Linked DNA regions of Caenorhabditis elegans. The protein of the gene in region 3 purifies or fractionates together with the protein of the main gene of each other region. This does not show direct contact. Each region holds a gene or a part of one and is shown on either strand. Other genes may lie near its edges.

Region 1 (4,587 bases), on a different chromosome or scaffold from region 3:
CGACTGGAAAAGTGTATTTTTTTCGTTTTTTGGAGGTTTAAAAATTATTTTTTCGGCAAAAACTTCGGGTTTTAGAGATCAAAATATCGATTTTTAAAGCTAACTGAAAATCCCCAATTACAGTTTTGACCCCAAAAAATACTGAAAATCATCTAAAAATCAATGTTTTAATCTGCAGTTTTCGCCGGAAAAAATCTTTTTACCTAGAAAAAATCTGGAAATTCGCTCAAAAATCGATATTTTGGCTTAAAAATCCAGTTTTTGGATAAAAAATTATTGGAAAATCACCCAAAAATTGATATTTCAATCAAAAATCCAGTTTTTAAACCAAAAAATACTGGAGAATCGCTTTAAAAATCGATATTTTGATCTAAAAACCCGAAGTTTTCGCCGAAAAAATAATTTTTAAACCTCCAAAAAAACGAAAAATTAAAAAAAAATTTGTTTCGTTTTTTGGAGGTTTAAAAATTATTTTTTTCGGCGAAAACTTCGGGTTTTAGATCAAAATATCGATTTTTAAAGCGATTTCCAGTTTTTTTTTTGGTTTAAAAACTGGATTTTTGATTAAAATATCAATTTTTGGGTGGTTTTTCGATATTTTTTGATCCAAAAACTGGATTTTTAAGCCAAAATATCGATTTTTGAGCGAATTTCCAGATTTTTTCTAGGTAAAAAGATTTTTTCCGGCGAAAACTGCAGATTAAAACATTGATTTTTAGATGATTTTCAGTATTTTTTGGGGTCAAAACTGTATTTTTTCACTTAAAAATTCCATTTTTAACGCTAAAAATGCGATTTTTGTGCGAAAAATCCAATTTTTTGAGCATTTTCAGCCAATTTTTCAGATTTTCAGCCTTTTTACCGTCAATTGATCCTGAAAACCCATTTCGAAGAGCCGATCGGCTTCATCAAATACAACATATTGAACATATGAAAGACGAAGATCCATCTCGACGATAACATGAAGAAGGCGGCCAGGAGTGGCGAGAAGACTGCAAATTTTTAGATTTTATGGGTTTTTTGGGCTTAAAAATTGGATTTTTAGGCTTTAAATTTGGATTTTTAGGCTTTAAATTTGGATTTTTTGGCTTAAAACTGGATTTGTAGGCTTAAAATTCGGATTTTTAGGCTTAAAATTTAGATTTTTAAGCTTAAAATTTGGATTTTTTGGCTTAAAACTGGATTTGTAGGCTTAAAATTCGGATTTTTAGGCTTAAAATTTAGATTTTTAAGCTTAAAATTTGGATTTTTGAGCTTAAAAATTGGATTTGGAAGCTTAAAATTTGGATTTTTAGGCTTAAAGTTTGGATTTTTAGGCTTTAAATTTGGATTTTTTGGCTTTAAATTTGGATTTTTAGGCTTAAAATTTGGATTTTTGAGCTTAAAAATTGGATTTGGAAGCTTAAAATTTGGATTTTTAGGCTTAAAGTTTGGATTTTTAGGCTTTAAATTTGGATTTTTTGGCTTTAAATTTGGATTTTTAGGCTTAAAATTTGGATTTTTAAGCTTAAAATATGGATTTTTAAGCTTAAAATATGGATTTTTAGGCTTTAAATTTGGATTTTTAGGCTTTAAATTTGGATTTTTTGGCTTAAAATTTGGATTTTTTGGCTTAAAATTTGGAAATTTGAGCTTAAAATTTGGATTTTTAGGCTTAAAGTTTGGATTTTTAAGCTTAAAATTTGCATTTTTAAGCCTAAAATTTGGATTTTGAAGCTTAAAATTTGGATTTCTAAGCTTAAAATTTGGATTTTTAGGCTTAAAATTTGAATTTCTAGGCTTCAAATTTGGATTTTTAGGCTTGAAATTTGGATTTTTAAGCTTAAAATTTGGATTTTTAGGCTTCTCAGCTATAAATCCTAAAAAATTGCAATTTTTTGCATTTTGTGGGTCAAAAACGCTGAAAACCGTCCAATTTTCTGCGCAAAACCATCGGATTTGTTCGATTTTTGGGCCAAAATGACCGAAATTTCGGCGTTTTTTCGTCGAAAAAATCCTCACTAACATGTCGGGATTCTCGTGAATTGTGGAGAATTGCTCCTCAATTTGATCTCCTCCGACAAGGCAAGCACAACGGAGTCCTGTGAAGCGGCCGAGCTGAAAAATGAGCAATTTTGAGTGAAAATTCGGGGTTTTCAGCTAAATTTTTGAGATTTTTGGCATAAATTCACACTTTTTAAGTGAAAAAGCAACATTTTTAGGCAGAAAAAAAATGAATTTTTAGCCGATTTAATGATTTTTAACGGAAAAAAAATCAGTTTTCAAGTGAAAATACAAAGTTTTTGAGCATTTTTTCGCGGTAAAAATCCAGATTTCCCAGCCAATTCCTCGATTTTCATCAATTTTCGCACCTCTTTGACGACTTTAAACGTCTGAAGAGCCAATTCTCGTGTCGGAGACACCATAAGAGCCCGAATTCCAGTCGTATCTCTTCTTTTCAGCTTTTGGAGCATCGGAATCACAAAAGCGGCGGTTTTTCCGGATCCTGTACGTGACATGGCCACCACATCTTTTCCATCCATAATACACGGGATTGTTTTGCGCTGAAAATTGGAAAATTTGGGGGTTTCCGGCTTTTTTCTGGGGAAAATGGGATTTTGCGGGTTTTTGAGGGCTAAAAACCAGATTTTCAAGCTTATTTCGCTTTAAAAATTGAAATTTTAAACTATTTTATTGGTAAAATAGTGGAGAAATCGATTTTTATGTCAAATTTAAGTGATTTCAAAAATTTAAATTTTTCGCGGGAAATTTTGATTTTAAAGAATTTCTAATCTTTTTAATCAAAAATTTCACAATTTTTCACTCCATTTCCCACTACAAAAAGCCATTATTTCCTTAATTTTTCGCGAAAATCCTTGCCTGAATCGGCGTGGGCTGATTAAAGCCTTTTTTCTCGATCGCCTTGTAAACCGAATGGTCCAAACCGATTTGTTGCCATCCTCCGGCCTTTTTATGCTTTCTATTCTGATTAATTTGCAGCTGAGTGAAGTCTTCCTCGTCGTCCGACGCCATTTTTACCCTGAAACGAAAATATCGATTTTTAGCGGGAAATTTGTCGCGGAAATTGACGAATAATGAAGAAATAGGTGATTTTTAAAATTTTAAATCAAAATTTACAAGAAAAATCGAGAAATTCGGTTGGAAATTGGCGGAAATTGAATTTAAAATTTAATTTTTCGTTGAAAAAATCATTTGCGCGTAGGTTCCGCTGCATTGTGTGCACTCTGGAGGGGTGGCGTGTTTGCGTACAATGCGCGTCAGAGGCAATGTTGACCGTACCCCAAGGGGAAATTCAGCTTTTCTGTGTGTAATTAATAATTTTCTGAAAATGCCTGTTTTTCTCATGAAAAAGCTTTATTATGTACACAAAATCTAGCGAGAAATTCCAAAAAAAAACAAATTCACAAAAATACAGGAAAACCTGGGCGAAAAAAACAGGGAAAGGCAGTCCGCGAAAAGGAAAAATCGATAATATTTACAATTTTCTACACATTCTACACAGGTGCTCATAGGAAATGAGTAAGGACAACGAGAAAAAAAACGGGGGCAACGAAGATATGGACACACGAAGAAGGAAGAAACTGGGAAAAAATACAAAAAAATCCTGAATTTCGGGGGGAATTGAAGAGAAAATTTGGGGGGGGGGGGGGGCTTGAGGTCAAAAAAATTGGTGATTTATGGGAAAAATGAAGAGATTTGAGTGGAAAATTTGAAATTTTCGAGCATTTTTACCCCTAGATTGATGAAAATAAATATTTGCACTTGGTGGCCTAGAAAAAAAAAATTTCAGAAAAGTTCGGCCATCATCAATTTTTGCATCATTCTAGTGTGAGTTTTGCTCAAAAATCTCAATTTATAACTAGTTTTGACTTAATTTTCACGGGAAATATCGGACAAATTGAACAAAAAAAAAAGAATTTTAAGCGGAAAATAAAAGTTTTCCGAATATTTCCCCCATTAAAATTCCATTTGATCTACAGTCATTGTGTCGTCAGCATCAAAATCATCAAAGTTCACTTCACTTTCATCAAATTCCGACATTGAACTACAACTTTCGTCGTCATCGTCCTGCGGGTGACCATCGTAGTGCTCCGAGGGTGTTGAGGATATGGAATAGGCGTTTCCCGGGGAGCATCCTTCTATGGCACGGTGTTCACTTGCAAATCGCATTACGTATTCTGAAAATAAAAAAAAATTTAAAAAAATCGATAAAAATCGGCAAAATTCCATTTTTTTGATCAAAAAATTGCTAAAAACATGGAAAAATTCGCTCAAACTCTTAAAATTTTGCAATTTCAACCTCAAAAACCACTTAGAACCGTAAAAAGTACGCAGAAAGCAAAAAAAAAGCAAAAAAAAAAATGATGGCCTAACTTTTAGAATTTCTAGTCCACCAAGTGAAAAACTAGTCCCCGATTGTTTTTTGCCGAATTAAAAAAAAGGATTAAAATATACTTTAATAATTTGAATTAAAAAAAGCTCCAAATAAAATAAAACGGCCAGTTTCGAGTAGGTGGCCTAGAAATTCAAAAGTTCGGCCATCAACATTTTTTTCTCTAAAAAAATTTTTTTCGCGAAAATTGAGAT
Region 2 (5,766 bases), on a different chromosome or scaffold from region 3:
TCATGGGATAGGACGATCAAAATGTGGACAATTGTCGATTCACAAGCAGAAACTGTCGAAGTATCACATGAAGCACTCGATGTCAAATTTTCTCCGGCTGGAGATGAGATTGCTGTTCTTACATCGGATGGAGTCATCACTTTCTTTGAAGCAAAGGAAATGATTAATTTGGGAAGTATTGATACTAAATTGGATACTGATCCGGCTCGTGGATCACGTGACACAATTACAAGACAATCGGCGGCCAAAACAAAAACATTCACGAGAATTCGATTCTCTCCCGATGGAAATTTATTATTGGCTGGTGGAGAATCGAATAATTTCTGTCTTTACTCAGGTAATAGATTTTTTTAAAAGTTTTTAGAATTTTCAAACAATTTAATATTTTTTTTCAGTTCCGGAGCGTATGATTCTGAAGAAATGGCAAATAACAGCTAATCGAAGTCTCGATGGAGTTATTTTGGATTTCAATCGACGAAACTTCACAGAATTTGGAAATATGCAACTAGTGGATACTTCTGATGAAGAGGATGAGCTGGAGCCAAACAACAAAATGTCAATTAAGCTTCCTGGAACAAAAAATTTTGATTTGGGAGAACGAAGAGCTCGTCCTGAAGTGAATATTTATGAAGTTACATATTGTCCGACTGGAAGAAGATTCGCAATTTGTTCAACAGAAGGTGTTTCTGTATATTCATTGGATACTATTTCAATGTTTGATCCATTCCAATTAGACAGTCAAACTAATGCAGAGGTTATCAAAAGAGCTGTATGGAATAATGATTATTCAACTGCTATTATGGCTTCTCTTCGACTGAATAATGCACAATATATCACTGAATGTTTGGAATCAACTAGCATCTCACAGAGTACGTTGTTTTTATTATATTTTTTGTTGCGAAAAATTAGTTCCAAAAACGAATTTAAGGGTGGGATTTTTTGCTCAAAGTGACAGAAAATAATCCCAATATTCCAAATATAACTGTTTGAAAATTTATAGAATTTTTCTAAATTTTTTTTTATTTAAAAAATATACTGTATTTTCTGTCATTTTTGGCAAATTATTGATACTCTACAGACTCCCAAATAAAAATAAACGGAAAGCTAGAAAAGCAATTTTCAGTTCCACTTGTCGCCAGCTCACTACCGTTGATGTATGCAGAGCGTCTTCTAAAATGGATGGTTGAAGGAAATGTTATGTCATCGACACGACATGTTCATTTTTATATGGTTAGTGTGGACTTTCTAAAAATCAATTTAATCTGGAAAACATTATTATTTTTTTGATTTTTAGATTTGGCTCCGAGCGATTCTGCAACATCACGGAATGCAATTGAAAGGACGTGCTGACGTGGCAACTCTGACTGGTATCCAACAAATTGTGGCTCATCATCAACAACATATCACTAAATTGTTGGTTTTTGTCTTTAATTATTTACTGAGCACCGTTTTAAACTCCCGATTTTCAGGGCAAACCAGAACAAGTTCGCATTAAATTGGCTCGTGAAAATTCGGCAATCGAAGAAATCTGTGAAAAAGGAAGAAGAGGAAGAGGAGGATGTTAGTGATGAATCAGACGATGAAGATATTGAAGATGAAAGTGCTGGAAGCGACGATGAAGATTCTGATGATTCAGTGGAAATTATTGAATAAGCTCTACAATCTACAATTTTTAAAGAATACGTCTTATATCAAAATTTCCAGACTATTCACACTTTTTATACATATTTGTTGTTGATTTGTTACTTTCTTTTCGAATATTGTTTTTTTTTCTCAGTTTTTGTTATTTTATTCCCATTTTCTGTTATGATTTCCCAGTTGTTCTAGTTTTTTTTTTGATAAAGTAAATGTGTTTTGATTTCCGTATTTTGTTATGTTATGTTTGAGTTATTAATATCTCGATAATTCTATTTTTGCATCTTTTTTCTTTCAATTTTTAATAACTAATTTTAATTTCAGAATTAAAATGACAAATATTTCAATTCCTGGTAATTGGCAGACATGTGATGTTGAAGCAATGGATGGTGACTTCGATGATAACATGCTTCAATTCTTGGGATCTTTTGAAGAAGTTCTTCCGGAAGGTGTTGAGGTTGAGACTAAAAAAGGAATGAAGAAAAAGGTAAGTTATAGTAAAAATGTTATATTCACGAATAGTTCTAAAATAAATTTGGGACTCCTTTTTTTTTAACTAAAACTATTCATTCATATTCAGAACAAACCGAAAAAGGTTGAAAACACTGAACGCCCAGAAGAAGATGCGAAGTGTGTAGAGGAGCGACGTCTAGCCAAAAAATTGAGAAGAAAAGAACAAATGGCTGCAAATCGTAAACAGAAGAAGGAACGGTTGGCAAAAAGAAAACAGAAAGAAGCTGAGAGTTCTGCTAAAAAATCTGAAAATGCGACAGAAACTACTACCGAAAAGCCGAAAGAGCAGAAGAAAAGAAAAGGAGGAGAGAATGGAGATACAGGAAAACCAAAGAAATCCAAAAAAGAAGCATCTAAGAAAACAGATATTTCAGCTTGGAAACAATTTTATTTTCTTCCTAATGAAGTTCTTGAAGCTATTGAGCAGATGGGGTGAGCACAATTTACCATTAATTTGTTTAGATTTTCACAATGTTAATTTTTTTTTTCAGATTTTCTGAGCCGACTGAAATTCAATCAGCAGTGCTCCCCGCTGCTGTTCGTGATCGACAAGATGTTCTAGGTGCTGCTGAAACTGGAAGTGGAAAGACATTGGCATTTGGAATTCCATTGGTTGCACGTCTACTCGAATCGTCAGATGATTCACAAGAAACTGAATCTACAGAAGTTCGAGGTCCACGTGCATTGATTGTTGCTCCAACTCGTGAACTTGTCATTCAAATCATGAAACATATTAATGCTCTCATTTCCACAACTCAACTAATAGCCACATCAATTGTTGGTGGATTGGCTCAAGTGAAGCAAGAGAGAATTATTTCCCAGCAGAGACCAGATATTGTCGTTGCAACACCTGGACGATTGTGGGCCATGATGCAAGAAGCTGAAACTGGAGAGTTTTTAGCTGAATGGAAAGATTTGAAGTGTTTAGTTGTGGACGAAACTGATCGGATGGTTGAGGAAGGATATTTTGCCGAGTTGACACATATTCTCAATAAGATTCATGAGTGAGTATTTAGTAATTAGTATTTTTGAAAAGGAAATATATAGTATCAAAATTGAGAGAAATTTTACCCGTTAAATGTTGCAATTTTCTTGCAAAAATACGGTATCCTGTCTCGGCACGAATGAAACTTTGCAGCTACCGTACCCACAAGAAATGTTTCTAAATTATTTATGATTTCTAATTTTAAATTTTCTTTGGGAAGAAGATTCAACGTCAAAAATCACAGAATCTCGCGATTGGACAATATATTCCCAGAAAAAAACTCAAAATATTTTCAGAGAATCAGAAAAGGAAAAGCTTCAAACTCTCGTCTTCTCTGCGACACTTACATTTGCAAAAGCACAAGATGTAGCCGAAGAAGAAAAGAAAAAAGCGAAAGAGCTCAGTTCACAGCAAAAAATTCGTGAGTAACTTTAGAACCAAATCAGAAATTCCAAATTTTTCTAAAATAAAATCTTTCAGAACGTCTTATCAAACTGACGGGTCTTCGTGAGAATAAGCATAAAGTTATTGATTTAACACGTCAAATGGGTACAGCTGGATGCCTTGTTGAAGCACGTATCAATTGTGGAAATCTTTTGGAAAAGGTTAGATTTAGAAATTGTTTGGATGAGTTCTTTGAAAATATTTTTCAAAGTTTTTTTTCTTGAAAATAACACATTTTTAATTGTAAGAGAACTTTTTTTAGGATACTTCACTCGTATACCTACTCACAAGATACCCTGGACGTACAATTGTCTTTGTGAATTCAATTGATGCAGCTCGTAGACTATACAGTGTACTTAAATCAGTGAACATTGATCCAATGATTCTTCATGCGAAAATGATTCAAAAACAACGTCTGAAGAACTTGGAAAAGTTTTCTGAATCCAAAAACGCCGTTTTATTGGCAACTGATGTCGCAGCACGTGGATTGGATATTCAAGGAATCGATCATGTTATCCATTATCAAGTTCCCAAAAAAGTAGAAATTTATATTCATCGAAGTGGAAGAACTGCACGTGCATCACACAGAGGATTGACTGTTGTATTGGTTGATCCACCAAGTAGACAATTTTATATGAAGTTGTGCAAAGGATTAAATAGAAGTATGTGGAGAAAAATATTGAAGATAAATGTGATGCTCTGGCGTCGTTGAAAAATTGTCAATTTTTTTTGTTTTTTTTTCTGAGAAAATCGAAGAAAGTAATGTTTAGAATATGACAAAATAATTCAATTTTGTATTAATGAGAAAAATATAAGACAACACATAATTTTACATTAAAATTATGAAATTTTTACGATCATTATCTAATTAATGTTATCTTTCAGTGCAAGATCTGAACGTTTTCCCAATCGACTTTGAACCTTTGATGAATGCGATCAAGAAACGTGTGCGACTAGCTTCAGAGATTGACTCTCTTGGATTCCGTTGCAAAAAGGTATCGAACTACTTTCTAATAGCTTTTTATATTGAAATTTCAGATCAAAATGTCAGAGTCTTGGTTTGAAAAAGCTGCCCGTGCCGCAGATTTAGACTATGATGAGACGCGTCATCGAGAAATGGATGGATTGAATCTTGAAGTTGACACAATGGTCCAGAAAAGTCGCCAACTTCAAGCACAACTACGCACGGAGCTTTCCCTTCCACTTCCACGTGTTGATGGATCGGATTCGATGAAGACAAAGTACATTACTCCTGAAATTGTTGCCCGTTTGAGATCAGTTGGTGATAATGCAATTGACGTATTAAACCAGAAAATTGATGAGACAAAGGAATGGAAGAGAAAGAGCCGAAAAGCTACAAGAGAAGATGAAATGAACTCGGTAGGCTCTTTATTTCCTTAATATCCTCTGTTAGAGACAGATAAATATAGATTTTTAAAAAAGTATTTATAACTTTTTTCAGATGAAAAAATCGTTGAAATCGTCTCAAAAGAACAAGGAACGCCTCGCCGAGAAGAAAAAAAAGGAGAAAGCTGCCAAAGTGACTAAACTATCGGAAACTGATTGAAATTGTCCGATATCCCTAAATTGTTTTTGTTGACATTTAATTTTGTTTTCTGTTCTGTTATGATTTTATTTGTTTTTATTTTAATATGAAGTCGTTTGTGATTTCAAGATAAGTATGTTTATATAGAAGAAAATATAAGTCAAGGCATCAGAAAGAATCAATGTTTCTTATTCCGTTTATTCACATAGTATCCAGGGCTAACACGGGGCGGTGGACATGATTCACATGGCCATGGTTCTCCTTTTGGACCTGAAAAGTTGAGCATTATCGAAATTGTAACTTCTCTGTAACTAACCAATTGGCCCAAAAGTTCCCACAGGTCCTCTTTTTCCAATTTCTCCTTTTAATCCTTGATATCCACGTTCACCTCGTTCACCAGGTAATCCATCTTCTCCGTCTCTTCCAGTTCTTCCTTTCTCACCTGGTGGCCCACGTGGCCCTGTTTCTCCATCTTTTCCAGGTGGTCCATCAGACACATAGATATGTCCTGGTTCACCTGGTTCTCCGGCTGGTCCTATAAATTTATTAGTTTGGTGTTATTAATAACAACTTATTACTATTGTCATTATGTGAAACCGTGAGGCACACGATAACCTTCTAAGTTGGTCTCGCCACAACTTCC
Region 3 (6,141 bases):
AACTGTATGTGATTTTTGACACCACGGAACCATTAGAATTTTATTTGAATTCGGAAATAATATCTCCAATATTAAATTCGTTTTGATTGAACTTTGTTTTTCAGCTACAACAATGCAAATTCGAAGTCGGTGATTTCGTCGACGTCGCGATTTCCTTGCCAAGTCAAGGACGTCGTTTCAATAACCGGGAGCAGGGAGACCGTTTCGATCATCGTCAACGCCAACGTAGTCCGATTCGCTAGACGCCTAACTGTGTGTTAAAATTCAATGATACTCTTCTGTATTTATTAATGTGTCGATTCTTTTTTTTATAACGTGCAATGTAATATTCTGCGTAAATCATGTTTTCCTTTACAATTGTTCAACATACTTAACAATTTACAACAAAGTTTACTTTCACATTTACTGGTCAAAATTGCAAGCTATTTAATTTTAAAAAAGTTTTGTTTTGTGATTATGCAAAAATCGGAAAAATGATCGCGATCAAACTGCTTTCAGCGAAAACTAAAATTTCTTCTCGAATAATTTATTGCTTAATAAATGATAATGGACGGGGGGTAGAGCAAGTAAGATTATTGAAAATCGAAATTTCCAAAAACGTTCTAATTGGAAGTTTCTTTCGCCTTCGAAAACTCCTAATAAGAAAGTTGGAGGAAATTCGCACAGAAAAAAAGGCAGGTAAAACAGGAGTATCTACTATTCAAACTATGTGTCAATGTACTCTACTCTAGATTAAATTACAAAAGGATTCTTAGTTGAAATTATAAAAACATAAAGGGGAATACGATACAATTATGGGGAAAAATGTAATAAAGAATGTTCAGAAAAACAAAAGCATGGGAATTTAAGTACTTGTATAGAGAGTAGGTATAGGGTAGTGGATAAAAAATGTTGGTAATATGTAAAGGGGGTGAATACGTGACAATAAAAGAGAGAATCTCGGGATTACGCCCAGAAGTTTCGCTTCGGAATGGTCATTCCGTTCATTGCAACGGACATCTCATCAACAATGGCTGCCGCCAGTTCTTCTCGCATGTCTTCGTTGATGAGTTCCGAATGGTCTTTGATGATGCGGTTCTCAACTGCTTGCAAATTCACGTAACGCCTGGAAACATTTGTTTTTGATAAAGATTTTTAGGAAAATAAACTATTACTGATGAATTTTGTAATTGTTGCGTCCTCGTTTAGCCAGATTTTCTGCCGCATAAAGAACATCTGGAACCGATGGTGGCTGGTAGGACACTTGATGACCGAATGCGCGGAAGTACGTCAAGTGCATGAGCTCGTTTTTAGACCATTTGGCATCATTGACAAGGATCGTGTACTTGCACGGACGAACGGTACCCTAAAAGAAACTTTCATTTAATAAATTAACTAATGAACAACTTACAATAAGCGGCGTCTGTGAAGACAAAATGAACTCGTCGTATCCGTAGGATGTCAGGACATTCTCGACACATGTTCCAGATGGGATGTTCTGATCCGTCGCTCTGTTGCCACTGATACATGATGGAAAAACGCGAGCATGTGAAGCTCTTTGTGCGATGATCACCACGAGATGTGGACGGTATCCGGGCTGAATCTTGTCAAATGTTCGTCGCATCTCTTCGACTTCTTCCTTAACACGATTGAAGTTTCCTTCTCCAGCACCAACACGATAGATGACGATTCTTGTTGGGAGTGTCTTCGAATGCTCCTTGTACGATCTGACACACTTTGGGAAGAATTCATCAAGTTTTTGAAGTTTGTACTCCTTTTGGGTTTGAAGGTATGTGAAGCCTCCGAGCTGCGTCGAGTTGGTCAGGGAATACGAGACTCCAACAACTGATGGCTCACCATCCATTTGTGATCTACTGCGATCGAACAAAGTGCGTGATGCGCCATGAGAAATCTCGAATCCGATGAATTGTACATGTTCGAGAAGTTTCTTTCTCAATGTTTCATTGTTTGAGCACACTGCTTTTCCACGCACAGCATTCGGGATCTCGACGAAGAAGTTGGTTCCACCACACTTGAGGTTGAACTTTCTCATGACGTTGTCAATCGTTTGGCGTCCACCTTGACCTCCCATCATTTTATCGACAGTCTGTTGACACAATTGGATTGTTTGCAGGCCAATCGATTCCTCAAAGTATTTGAGTATGTCGTGAACATCCGGCTTCTTCTCCCTTGCTATTCCAACAAGAATGTCCACTCTATCATCGAGCCATTTCTTCATCAGATTTTGGATAGCAACGGAATCACTGGAGTTCAATTCACGGATGGACCAATCTCGCGAGTCCTTTTCGACCGTGATTCCATTGTCACGACAGAAATTGGACAGCTTGTCGCAGAAATCTCTGAAAATAGAATATTATAAAGCAGAAGAAAACAACGTTCGACTTACTCGGCCTGTCTCATTTGGATACAGTTGTCAAAGACAACAATACCAATTTTTCTGATCCGTGCTGGTTCGACAAACTTGTCCTGTGTGCGGAACGCTGGACGGCTCATGTCAGGCATGTAAGTCTGGCCCTTGAACTTGATTTGAGCTGGTGGGAGGAGCTTCGCAGTCATTTGGATTGGCTCAGTCGACATCAGTTTGATTCCGAAAGCATCCATGTACTTATTTTGTTCAAGCTTCAAGTTGTCGCGGAGAATATCTTGAACCAACTTCACATGATGCTGTGGCATAGACGCATTTCTTCCTGTCATCGCCGATTGTACTGTCGGGCTCATCTTGTTGACCTTGATCCGCTGGCCTGGAGCAATTCGAAGCAACTCCATTGGGAAGAAAGATTCATGTTTGAATCTTTTTGAGACGACGAGAGGAAGTCTCGGATATTTCAGCTTGATGTTGTACTGCAACAGGAAATATTCCGCCACGGTGACCTCGCGTTCTCCCTTGTCGTCCTTCATCATGAACGAAGTGCTACAAAACAAATTGTTATCACGCTGATGATAACTATCGAATAACTTACTTCTCAGCATTGTTCTCGGCAATCGAGGATACGCGAATAAGGTTACCCTTCAAGTGAGTGCATTCCACGTCCAATCCTTTGAGTGCTTCTTCAATGCATCGCTTCGTGTTTCCTCTTTCGCCAAAAGCGTGTTCCAACTCAGCAGCATCACTCGGAGAGTAGTCCGCTCCATTTGAAGAACCACTGTCTCGACGGGAATCGTACATGTCGCGACGTCCTCTGCTTTCATCTCGGTACCTGTCGTTGCCACCTCGGTTTCCATAGACACCACGAAAGTCTCTCGAGTCGGAACGGCCGCCACGGTATCCACCACGAGAGTCTCGCGAGTCACTTCTTCCGTATCCGCCTCTTCCACCGCCTCCACCTTTCATTTCGGATAACTTGTTGCTTGAAAACTTGATAACTGATGTATCCTTGTAAAATGGAGAAATCTTCGTATCAACCGTCATGAAAGCTTTGCCACCTCCGTTTTGCGATAGACGAGATACTTTCGCAAAACCTGAGCGGATCTCCGAAATAGCATCAGGTTCCGAGTGTGGCGGAGAAAGACGTGGGAATGTGGCATTACCAAATTGTAAGTAATCCTCATTGTTGAGCTTTTGTGAAGTGACGATTTCGATAATACGAGTCAACTCCATACGATTAGCCTCCTCCTGGGCAACTTCTCCTTGGGTGTACACAAATCCGGCAGGTTTGAGAACAACAAGGTAAGAATCGTCCTTTCTGCGAGACAACTTCGACACGAATTTCCATTCTTCCTTCGGGAAGTCATCGATCGTCAACGTGACTTCTTCTTGATCGTCACCAGTGTAGACTCCCTCCGGAAGATAGAGAGTCGCAGCGCAGTCGTAAGCAAGGAAGTGGTGACTCTTTCCACTGAACTTCACCAGAAGCTTGTCATGTACTGTTCTCATGATGTAGTATTGTGCCAAGCGACGGTTATGGGAATTGACACTGGAAAGTACTGATTTTGAGCGGTTATACAAATTAAATACTTACTCTCCCTTGGCCGCCAAAACTCCAAGGTTGGCATTGATCTGTTTTCCGTTGCTGGAACAGACGATGACGTCAACTTGAAAGCGTTGGATCTTGTGGGGCATATCCTTGATGTCCACTGGAAACATGTTCATCTGAACATTCATCGTGTCCATCGTTGCGAAAGAGTCCCGTCCAATTGGTGTTGTTGACTTCGGAGTAGAGAACATTGGTGCTGAAAAAGACAATTTTGAACTCCTAGGCATAATGTTGATTCTAAACGAACCACTTCTCTTTGACGTCGGTTCGTCCTTGTCCTGATTCATTCGGTTGTCTCGTTTGGGAATCCTGTTGGAAGACGAACTTCCCATAATTTTGTCGAGCAAGTCGGCCATGTTTGACTGAAATAAGAAACGATGAAACGAAAAAACGATGCGAATTTCAGATGTAATTGAGATAAAACAGTGAAATTTACTAAGAAAAAGTAAATGAAACAAAAGCTTTACCGTCCTGATTGAGATTTTCAAGTAAAATGAGAAAAAACGCAAGGAGAGAAATGAAATGAAAATAAATAAATTTTAGGCCAGAAAATTCGAGAAAACACATCCGTGGCGGTACAAAAGTTCAAATCGTGGCGCCACATGCGTTGTAACAATAGAGCGCGCTTGCATTGTGATCTCTTCGAAAAATTTCACGTCTAGAAATCGAATTTTATTAGTTTTCAAAAACTTAACGACTATTCTGAACATTTCAAATAAAATAATAGAAAACAATATTTTTAAAAAATTAATTTGTTATGCTTCAATAAATATTAATTATTTAATTCATTTCTACAATCAAAACGATGCTGGTTTTTCAAGTTTTCTGCTTTTTCGTCTCTTTTCTGGCAAATTCAATAAAATGCGACATAATTCATCTCAAACATATGCCTAAAATTCTGAAGGAAAAGGCGTTGCTCGAAAAGCCGATAATTCCAAACAGGCTGCTCCAGCCATTCCTTAATGAATCAATTGCTCATATTTTGATGAATCCGTTAGCTGAAGTGAAGACGAATGCGACGGAAATTAAGTTTCTAAATTATCTAGAAGATAAAAAGAAATATGAACCCGATTGGACAATTCGAGAACTTGAAGATAAAATTGTGAGCTTAATAAGTCATTTTTCAAGTCTAGAAAAGAGTTTCAGAGCCTATCAGAACTGGTCAAGACTTGTCTAGAACACCACTCGTTTCTAGATCTTCCAGATTTATTTCCTCGTTTTCTGTGTGGTTTGTTAGCAGTGTATAGGGAACAGAACACGACAAGTCTTCCATATACTGGATCAATATTTTCTCGATCATCAAATGCAGTAAAATTTCTAAATGATCCAGAGAATTATCCATGTCATTCTATGAATATGACTGATGTGGTGGCACTGGTGCCAGGAAGAATATACAGTGGATGTGTCAAGGATACGGTATCCTTTTCAACAAAATTCTGAAAATCCAGTTATCTGTTTAGGACCCTGAAAAATTCAGTCAATTCGATTCCGTCTTCATCATGTCTCATCCATTCCCAGATGTTCAAAAGTGTCAACAACCTGTGTCAGTGATGCCAAAATGCGAACTGCGATCGATGCTAGTGCAACACAAGATATTGTATCAGCAAAAAGATTGTTGCTGCGATTCCAACATGTGTGCCGTGCTCATCTTCACTCAGACCTCTTCACTGACTCCGCTTGTTTTAAAGACGATTGATTTGACGAGAGAGACGATGGTCCCGTTTCCAGTGACAACGACAGAGATCTCTTTAAATTCAATGTTTCAATAAAGTCAACAATTTCAATAACGCATAAAATGTAAACTCAACAGCAAAAATTAACAAAAAAGAAGATTCAGAATAAAATGGGATTAAAAAAAAAGAAATTAACTACTTCTTTCGTTCATAGGTCCATTTGTAGACGGCTGCTCGCATAGCTTTCGCCTTTTTGACCTTTTGAGGCTTCAATTCTGATTTGCTTCCAGCTGCCAATTGTTTCTTCAATTCCAGCTTGTCCACGACCACTTGAAGCTCCTTGGCACGTTCCACGCGTTTGATGAGCTCGTTGTATCGAGTACGACGTACACGATCGGCTTTCTGGAATAATTTTTATTAAGATTTTTCATTTGTTTTAGATATTTAAGGGGTACTTACTCTGACTTGTTCTTTTCATTTGTTTTAGATCTTTA

What was found.
Region 1: the proteins of hrde-1 (region 3) and Y94H6A.5 purify together in Caenorhabditis elegans (affinity purification with mass spectrometry, with the first as the bait; one study listed by BioGRID). This does not show direct contact.
Region 2: the proteins of hrde-1 (region 3) and F55F8.2 purify together in Caenorhabditis elegans (affinity purification with mass spectrometry, with the first as the bait; one study listed by BioGRID). This does not show direct contact.

What each region holds. Positions count from the first base shown.
Region 1 is NC_003282.8:2,700,959-2,705,545, forward strand, and holds the start of Y94H6A.5 (RNA helicase), read right to left. Parts: upstream 3,020-4,587; 5' UTR 3,013-3,019; coding exon 2,860-3,012; intron 2,544-2,859; coding exon 2,352-2,543; intron 2,098-2,351; coding exon 2,006-2,097; intron 1,087-2,005; exon of another isoform or gene 1,017-1,086; intron 993-1,016; coding exon 863-992; intron 1-862. Other genes in the region: ubc-8 (UBC core domain-containing protein), read right to left, coding at 3,958-4,178.
Region 2 is NC_003279.8:5,645,850-5,651,615, reverse strand, and holds F55F8.2 (ATP-dependent RNA helicase), read left to right. Parts: upstream 1-1,959; 5' UTR 1,960-1,966; coding exon 1,967-2,122; intron 2,123-2,215; coding exon 2,216-2,580; exon of another isoform or gene 2,581-2,639; coding exon 2,640-3,152; intron 3,153-3,429; coding exon 3,430-3,554; intron 3,555-3,613; coding exon 3,614-3,738; intron 3,739-3,839; coding exon 3,840-4,239; intron 4,240-4,462; coding exon 4,463-4,572; intron 4,573-4,615; coding exon 4,616-4,957; intron 4,958-5,039; coding exon 5,040-5,144; 3' UTR 5,145-5,247; downstream 5,248-5,766. Other genes in the region: F55F8.3 (Periodic tryptophan protein 2 homolog), read left to right, coding at 1-337, 396-869, 1,124-1,230, 1,295-1,413, 1,470-1,653; col-53 (Col_cuticle_N domain-containing protein), read right to left, coding at 5,302-5,393, 5,440-5,658.
Region 3 is NC_003281.10:4,171,824-4,177,964, forward strand, and holds hrde-1 (Argonaute protein hrde-1), read right to left. Parts: upstream 4,337-6,141; 5' UTR 4,331-4,336; coding exon 4,222-4,330; intron 4,171-4,221; coding exon 3,960-4,170; intron 3,915-3,959; coding exon 2,961-3,914; intron 2,912-2,960; coding exon 2,387-2,911; intron 2,340-2,386; coding exon 1,391-2,339; intron 1,346-1,390; coding exon 1,155-1,345; intron 1,106-1,154; coding exon 946-1,105; 3' UTR 514-945; downstream 1-513. Other genes in the region: C16C10.4 (putative histone deacetylase complex subunit SAP18), read left to right, coding at 1-4, 105-242; C16C10.13 (Rab3 GTPase-activating protein catalytic subunit), read left to right, coding at 4,960-5,076, 5,121-5,390, 5,435-5,743; utp-11 (putative U3 small nucleolar RNA-associated protein 11), read right to left, coding at 5,843-6,049. UniProt on the Caenorhabditis elegans protein: Argonaute protein which is involved in the endogenous small interfering RNA (endo-siRNA) pathway and is required for RNA-mediated gene silencing (RNAi) in the germline.